Linked DNA regions of Arabidopsis thaliana. The protein of the gene in region 1 purifies or fractionates together with the protein of each later gene. This does not show direct contact. Each region holds a gene or a part of one and is shown in the gene's direction. Other genes may lie near its edges.

The links.
Region 2: the proteins of AT1G27160 (region 1) and AT3G02760 fractionate together in Arabidopsis thaliana (co-fractionation; one large-scale study listed by BioGRID). This does not show direct contact.

What each region holds. Positions count from the first base shown.
Region 1 is NC_003070.9:9,430,786-9,433,731, forward strand, and holds AT1G27160 (valyl-tRNA synthetase / valine-tRNA ligase-like protein), read left to right. Parts: upstream 1-1,632; 5' UTR 1,633-1,802; coding exon 1,803-2,405; downstream 2,406-2,946. Other genes in the region: AT1G27150 (Tetratricopeptide repeat (TPR)-like superfamily protein), read left to right, coding at 1-95, 171-275, 380-486, 562-613, 697-786, 876-960, 1,046-1,110, 1,197-1,283; AT1G27170 (transmembrane receptors / ATP binding protein), read left to right, coding at 2,792-2,946.
Region 2 is NC_003074.8:596,581-602,508, reverse strand, and holds AT3G02760 (Class II aaRS and biotin synthetases superfamily protein), read left to right. Parts: upstream 1-1,725; 5' UTR 1,726-1,858; coding exon 1,859-3,208; intron 3,209-3,282; coding exon 3,283-3,462; intron 3,463-3,552; coding exon 3,553-3,810; intron 3,811-3,893; coding exon 3,894-4,307; intron 4,308-4,386; coding exon 4,387-4,527; intron 4,528-4,612; coding exon 4,613-4,921; 3' UTR 4,922-5,404; downstream 5,405-5,928. Other genes in the region: AT3G02770 (Ribonuclease E inhibitor RraA/Dimethylmenaquinone methyltransferase), read left to right, coding at 625-808, 1,176-1,492.

The sequences.
Region 1 (2,946 bases):
ACTTAGAAGGAGGGTCCCCAATGAGTAAAGTAGAGGAGATTTATGATCATCACATCTGGAAAGAATTGGAGAAAGACGATGCTGTTCCTCCTGAAGTAATCCTCTTTTTGATTAACAAATTTATGCTTTTGCGTCATCTATTCAATATTCAACTGTCTGCAACTCTTTAGGTTTATCTCAATGCATTGGGCTTGTTGATACGTTTAGATGTAAGAGATGCTCTTGATGGTTTTGAAGACCGTCTCAAAAACCTTGCAGTTCGTTTAACTAATCAGGTAAGCCATACACTAGTTTTATATCATCCCAAAACGGTTGCAGTTATACGAGTTATCTTGTTGAATAAGTTTTTATTTTTCGGCCACTTGCTTTAACATTTCAGGCAAACTGGTATTTGGAGTGGCACCTTGATATATTGATAGTTTGGGCACTAGCAAAGGTTGGAGAGACTTCAAGAGCTCATGAATTACTTGAGGGCCTTAAGTTCCGGTTAGTGTGACTTTCTTTTATTCTGCAGTTTCTAAATGATACCGAATTTGTCATGAACTTGTGTTGTTCTTGCAGATTATCAAAGAAGAACAAGAAGAAGCAACAAGTGATGCAGAAAGGGATTCAGGTTTGTTTATTCCCCCTCCCTCTTTGATCGTCTTTCTTTATCATTGTAACTAGTACTCAATATCAGTCTTGTTTTCATATAAGCTTGGGGAAGCTGTGTATGAATACGCAAGGGGTAACTACGAAAAGGCTCTAGAACTACTGGGTTCAGAGTTCAACGCCATTGGTTACAAGGTAAACCGTTCTTCAGCGACTTGCTCAAAATACTCTGAATCAAACACATTTCTGGTGGATCTTTTAAACTGTTTTATGGTTAATAATAGATCGTTGGGGCATCAGACGAACAAATAGATGTTTTCAACGAAATGTGGTGCCAGCTGCTGCTAAAGACAGGCCAATCCTCCACGGGTAAGGCTTGTTGTAGAGTCTTACTAATTTGGATACTCGTCTTGCTTAGTATGATGATAAACAATCGTGGTTCTGATGTATGCAGCCAAAGAAGTAATCAGAGAGAGGATTAAGGCCAGAGATGGTATTCCTTTCATGTGGCGTTTGCTGGTATACATTCAAAAGCAGAACATCACTTTGTTTTAGTGTACTATATGTGTTTTTGCTATGAGAAAATGATGTCGTTGTGGTTGCAGGAGAAAAGTTACTCCATGGAAGGCAATGCAGAGGCTGAGAGTAGTGCACGAGAGAGAGCTAAGAAACTTGAATCTTGTTATTTCTAACTTTGCTTCAAAAATCCAATAATGACATGTGTGTATACATGTTTTTAAATAAGTATAGAATAAAATATTTTGCTACTCGTGTCCTACTTTTTTGTTTACCAAAAGGTAAATGAATAAGGGGGTGTATTGAAAGTGGAAGTTTAAGAGATTTGTGTAGAATTTATAAATCCTATGTTATTCAAACATGAATTTTAAAAAGTTTCATGAAATTCAGTGTTATTGAACTAATGATTTAAAAATCCACCTTAAAATCCACTGTTATTAAAAACAATTTGTGGATTTGAATTTTAATGATTTTGGAGGATTTGAGAGGATTTCTTTAGTTAAAAATACAGAAATCCAAATTCCATGGCTACCGCCAGTGGTGTAACAAACTGTGGAATGCTGTCAGATTTGCGATGATGAAGCTTGGCGATGGGTATACTCCTCCTGTGCAAACTCTACGCCCTAAAACCATGACCTTCAGCTGCCAATGGATTCTTTCTTTACTAACAATATCGAAGACAGTGGATTCCTTGAATGCGTTTGCATTATCGGATGCTGCCAACAGTGTATGCTTGGTGGCAATACCAGTTCTGTGATGTATTTATCGAGGCAATTAAGCCTTATTTTTCTGCTGACACTCAAAGAAGGATTCATGCACAAGATGCTCTCTGGGTGTGTCTCGAGACTGGTTTGAGATTGCTGCATCCATTTATGCCTTATATTACAGAAGAGCTGTGGCAGCGGTTGCCTTCATCGCAAGACTCTGAACGAAAGGCGTCTATCATGATATGTGACTACCCATCTTCCATAGAGATGTGGACAAACGAGAAGGTGGAAACTGAAATGGACATGGTTCTAGCGACCGTGAAAACTCTTAGGGCACTGAGAGCTGCAGAGTCGCTAAAGAGACAGAGAAATGAAAAGTTCCATGCGTTTGCTCTGTCTGGAAATGCATTAACACTGGGGATTGTGAAACCACATGAGCTGGAGATCAGAACTCTTGCAAATCTCTCATCCTTTGAGGTTATGTTGAGGGGAGAAGACAAAGCATTTGTAGTGTGTTGGGAGGAAATTGAAATTTGGATTAGTTACAATGTGCTTTATTTTATTTTATGTAAACTATGTCCATCGTTTTGAATATGACGGATTCGATCATGGAAAAGCAAACTTAGGAATTTCCATGTTTCAAAAAGTCAATGCATCCATACAAAAAGTTATACTACATGAATTAAGAAGTGTTGTGTATGCTTTAGCACTAACTATGTTGTAACTAAAAGCTAATTATGCTTTAGCCGACAAAAGAAAAGAAGAAGCTTACTAATTCTCTCCATTGTCACGAAAAGAATCTGTCTTTCAAACTTATTTTAACATTGTGGCATTAGAAATCGAAATTCTTGACGTTTTCGGTTTGTATAAGAGCCATGTCGCTATAATGTAATCTTTCTCTCCGGGTTCACGTAAAGAATTTCTCTGCACCTTTTCCATCTTTCAAAACTTTAATTTCGAAGAGGAAATAATCGAAGATGGTGAAGACCGGCGATGTTTCCGATCAGCGTTCGAGGCTCGAGTGGGATGTATTCCTCAGTTTCCAAAGAGACGCGCGCCACAAATTTACAGAGCGTCTCTATGAAGTGCTCGTCAAGGAACAGGTCCGGGTTTGGAACAATGATGATGTGGA
Region 2 (5,928 bases), on another chromosome or scaffold:
ATTTGGGATATGTGAGACACTTACAAAACTTCCAAGCACCTCAGGCAATAATAAAGTTTTCGTTTTTATCTTAATTAATGAATGAATGTCACAAAGTTTGTGAGATGTACAAAAAGCGTCGAGGAAAAGGATAACAAGGAAACAGAGTCGAAACCAGAGAAAAGGCAACGCAAAGATTCCTTTTTTCGAAGCTTAACGACAACCCACCTTCCATCTGATTTAAGTAAAGTTAAAAGTCACTAATTTAATATTATTGAACGACCGAAACAAGTATGTTGATGACTTTGTTCTCCTTTAAATTATCATCACTTCATTTCTCAGAGATTTACGCACACAGAGTTCTCTTCTTCGTCCTAGTTTCTTCTATTCCAGGTAAATGAAATAAGATTCGATCAAAACCCAGATGGATTTTGAAATAGTTTTCTTGTGAATTGAATGAAAAGTGTGTATCTTTCCTTCTGGGTTTTGATTGATTGACTGAGAATATATATGATCACTTTATCTAGACTAATCTCGATTTGTCTTTTGCTTTCTGTGTTTGAGTAATTTCTCGTAAATCTCATATAATCAAATCCCCAGATTACTTGTTTTGATCATAATTCTTGATTCAGGTGAGAAGAAAAAATGGCGTTTGTGACCACTGCGGAAGTGTGTGACGCGAATCAAGAGATGATTCGAAGTGGCCAGCTCCGAGCTCTGCAACCCGTTTTTCAGATTTATGGTCGTCGTCAAATATTTTCAGGTCCAGTAGTTACTGTTAAAGTCTTTGAAGACAATGGCTTAATCCGTCACTTCCTCGAAGAGAAAGGTATTAATGATTCTTGCTTATAAAATTCAAAAGACTGAAACTTTACTCGTAGAGCTATGAACTTTCAGAGTATCTTTGACATGGTTTATTGGTATTGTTACATTTTAGATTCAATTCTTGTGTTACTTACTTGTCAAATAGTTTCAATTGTTCTTTGCTTGAAACTATGTTTGAAGAAGTCTTAAGATCATCTCTCTATGATTTAGAACTACTGCTCAGTGTTTATATACTTCTTCAGTCACTTTGCTAATCAAGTTCTTGAATACTAGAGACGAGATAGGTCTTTCAAAAACCCGAGTCAATAAACCAATCTGTTCTCTGTAGCATTCACATCAAAAGCTCAATAATGTTTTAAATGTTAAAACAGGCAATGGTAGAGTTCTTGTGGTGGATGGTGGAGGGAGTTTACGCTGTGCGATACTAGGAGGAAACCCGGTCGTACAAGCGCAGAACAACGGATGGGCAGGGATCATAGTGAATGGATGCATCAGAGACGTTGATGAGATCAATGGTTGCGACATTGGAGTGAGAGCTTTAGCTTCTCATCCAATAAAGGCTAGTAAGAAAGGACTTGGTGAACAAAGAGTCTCTTTGAACATTGCAGGCACTCGGATATGCGATGGCGAATGGCTTTATGCAGATACTGATGGTATCCTTGTTTCTCAGATTGAATTATCCGTTTAAAAGGACACAAGTGATGTTGTTGATTTGTTAAAATCTGTAAGCTACTACTTTTGTGCTTTGTGTTTCTGTAATGGCTATCAGAGTAAAAGTTGGCTTCTTTGAATATGATTATTGAACTATTGAATCCGTTTCGAGTTGATAAAAAAAAACATTTCGTAAAGTGAAAATTGCAAAAAGATCCTTGAAGTATCCATACAAGCATTTTTCGTAGATCAATTTCCAATAACTGGATACTTCGAGGGTCATTTTGCAGTTTACCAATTTTCTAAATCCGCCTTCTTGCAATTTCACAGTGCTTCGTTTTAGGTCAAACACAACGAAAGACAGAAAACCCTAATCACTCCGGCTTCAGCTCTGTGTGTGATAATGGCGGCGGAGAGATCGTCCATCACTCTCGGAGGGAAAGGTTCTTCTTTATCTTCTTCCTCCGTTTACAATGTTGCTTCCGGCGTCGCTAATGTTCGAATTGACTCTTCTGCGATCGAGAGATTCTCCACTAGAAACGTTCCATCGATCAAAAGGAGCTCCTTTGGTATCCCTCAAGGGTTAACGAACGAAGAAACTCGAGCTTCTCTGGCTGTTCTCTTAAACAAGCTTATTTTGTCGACTTCTGGTCCTCCTTCTTCATCCACCGCTCGTTCTGTTCTTCCGCTTAAGATTGTTGAGATTCTGAATTTGAAGGCTGAGAGTTTGGAATTGGGTGAGATTGATGTGACAGAAGGGGAAAACATTGTGTTGGAGAAGTCGTGTGCTTCGTTGATTGGGATTTGTTCTATTATAGATCACAAATCGACGACTCTTTCACAGATTGTGGATTCTGTTGCTGCGTTGAGTTGTGAGGTTACAAAGGCTGATATAGCTTCGTTTAGCTTGTTGGATTCAGGAGATGGGAATGGTGATAAAGATGTGATTGGTGTTGCTGGTGATCTCAAGGTTTTGCTTAACGGGTATAAAGGTACAGGGAAATTAGAAATAGAAGAGATTTCGAAAATCCCTTGGATTCATGGGAAATTCAGGTATGTGGTGAAAAGCGTGCACGCGGATGCTAGGAGAGAATTGAATTCCGGTGTTAAAGGAGGCAAAACTGGGTCTGGAAACACTGGGATTGGTGAGGCTTTAGGAACAACATTGTTACCTTTGTTAACGGCGATTAAAAACTTGGGAGTGTGTTCGTTCCTTCGTGCTAAGCTTTGTTTTGAGAAGATTGTGGATGAGAATCTGAAGAAATGTTTATCTGAAAAGATCTGTGTTGAGAATGAGAATCTAAAGAATAGCTATAAGTTAGCTTATACTGCTCATTTGGAAGAGGATTACTGCAGGTTTGCTCACAAACTGAATGAGTGTCTGGGAATTGTATGGAGAATTGTTGGTTTGGAGGCAGTTGCTGCCTTTTTTGCTCTTGCTGGTGGAGAATTGTTTGTTCAGAAGAGCGGAGATGCGGACAAAGAAGAGTCGAAGACCGATAAGAAAAAGAAGAAGAATGAGAAAAAAGCAGTTGTGGGAAAGGGGACAAGCCTAGTTATCCAGTTTATCAAAGATAGATTGGTGAGTAATGACGCAGCAAGTGATGGTGACCAGATGCATTCATTGATGCAATGTGGGGAGCAAATCTTAAATCTTTTCAACCCAGAGGGTCGCAGTTTTGATAGCTTGTTGGATAAAGTGAAAGAGATTGTAGAAAGTAATGAAAATAGGAGACTTCCCAAGCTTCCAAAGGTAAATTACAATCTCGTATATGGAGAAGGTTTAGGCCTCAGAGTTAATTTCTGATTTGTTTCATTCTATGACAGGGAACTCGAGATTTCGCTAAAGAACAAATGGCAGTCCGAGAAAAAGCCTTTTCAATCATACAAAACGTTTTCAAGAGGCATGGTGCAACTGCACTTGATACTCCTGTTTTTGAATTGAGAGAGACCCTTATGGGAAAGTACGGAGAAGACTCGAAATTGGTTTATGATATTGCTGATCAGGTAGAACTCTTCTTGGCTGCTGTAATATCATCAGTTTATGTGATGATTTGTTTGTCAAAATTTGAGCTCATATGGATCTATTAATTGCAGGGTGGAGAGCTTTGCTCTTTACGATATGATCTAACTGTTCCATTTGCACGGTATGTGGCTATGAATGGAATCACATCATTCAAAAGATACCAAATAGCAAAGGTGTACAGAAGGGATAATCCATCTAAAGGGAGATACAGAGAGTTTTATCAGTGTGATTTTGATATCGCTGGTTTGTTCGAACCAATGGGACCCGATTTTGAAATTGTCAAGATATTAACTGAACTCCTCGATGAGTTAGAAATAGGAGATTATGAGGTAATAACTTAAGTTGAAAGTCTTAATCTTTCCTGGTTGGTTTTTTCTTTGGCTATGTTCTTAATTCTGGTTTGTTTAAATAGGTGAAACTGAATCACCGCAAGTTGCTTGATGGAATGCTGGAGATATGTGGAGTACCACCTGAGAAATTCAGAACCATCTGTTCGAGTATCGACAAGCTAGACAAGCAATCGTTTGAGCAAGTGAAGAAAGAAATGGTGGAGGAGAAGGGCTTGTCTTCAGAGATTGCAGACAGAATTGGCAACTTCGTTAAGGAGAAGGGAGCTCCTTTGGAGCTGTTGTCTAAACTGAGACAAGAAGGGAGTGAGTTCTTAGATAACCAGTCATCAAGAGAAGCTCTTGATGAGTTGAGTATCATGTTTGAAGCTCTTAAAAGATCAAAGTGCAGTGAGAGAATAGTCTTTGATCTAAGTCTAGCTAGAGGTCTTGATTACTACACCGGCGTCATCTTTGAAGCTGTTTGTATAGGAGCAGAGGTAAAATCCCGCATTTTGGCTTCCTGCAATTCAATTAAAGAAATTGTAGTGTATGGCCTTTGAATTCTTCTTTCTGCAGGTGGGATCAATTGGTGCTGGTGGGCGATATGATAACCTTATAGGAATGTTTGGAACAAAGCAAGTCCCTGCGGTTGGGATGAGCCTGGGAATCGAGAGAGTGTTTAACATAATGGAAGAACTTAACGAGAAACAGAAACAAGTAACTTGCCAAACCCTTATGCTGTTTGTCGACCTTGTTTTAAAAGAATGGTTTTTGAAGTTTGTGTTATTTGCTATGAATATAGGTGATTCGACCAACGGAGACACAGGTGTTGGTTAGTATAATGGTGGATAATAAACTAGCGGAAGCAGCAGAACTGGTAAGTCAGTTATGGGGTGCTAAGATCAACGCAGAGTATCTAGTGAGCAAGAGGAAAGAAAAGCATTTCAATCGTGCAAAGGAATCAGGGATTCCTTGGATGGTGATGGTAGGCGAAAAAGAACTCAGTGGAAGTTTTGTGACATTGAAGAAGCTCGAGAAGGGAAGTGAAGAGAAAGAAGATCAAACATGTACTAGAGATCGTTTCGTGGAAGAATTGAAGAAACTACTCTGAGTCGTTGAAAAGAAATGAAAGGTACACACACTCACTCCTGGTTCGATGCCCAGACAAAAGGAATCACAGTGTTTTGCATTCTTTTTTGCTGTTTTCCTTGGTTTGTTTGATAATGGTGTTTTGCATGACTCATGATTGTGGAGACAAGAACTTAGAGATTTTGATGTTGATGAAGTTTTCCGTATTTAACTAATTAGAGGAGATATACGTAAATGTTAAGCCAATTATCAGAATTACGTTTCTTTCAAAAAAATCCTTATCCCTGATAACCTAATCTGCGATCTTATCAGAAAAAAGAAAGAAAAAATAAGTAGGAAATGAGGTGGAAGAATATAAGACCGAAAAGAGAAAATAAAACACAACAGGTAAGGTTGTCTCCAAAAATAAAAAAAGTGATCTGCAGATCTGTGTGATCGCATTTGCATGAGATGAGAGGAAGAAAGATGGTACGTGTTGGTTTCTGTACCTCTCTGCCGACATGTGGTGGCTTCAAGTAACTAAGGTCACTTGTGTATTCACATCTCACGTTTCCATTGACTATTGTCTCTACTCATTTTCGATTCAACTACTGAAAATATTTGGTAAGAAACAAACAGGCGATTTACCATCCCCTACTGATCATTTATATAAAAAAACAATGAGTTCTTTGGTTCCTTAAATAAGAAGAATTCACGGTGGTTATTCTTTTATATACAATAGTTTACTAAGCGATACAATAATTAAATCTGATAAAGAGTCTCACCCTCATGGGATGATTGACTGATTGTGAGACCCTAAATATGATTTTGATCTAAAAATAAATGATCTGTTTTATTGAATTTTCACAATTTTAATAATTCTTCATATTATATATTGATGATATTCTAGTGGATGTCGGAAAATTATGTGTAAGAAACGTCTTATCCAAGCCCATGTTAATTCTGCCAGCCTGAAACAAAAAAAATATAAATATTTTCATACATTAATACGTAAAAAATAATAAAATAATGATTCATCAGAAAGAAAAA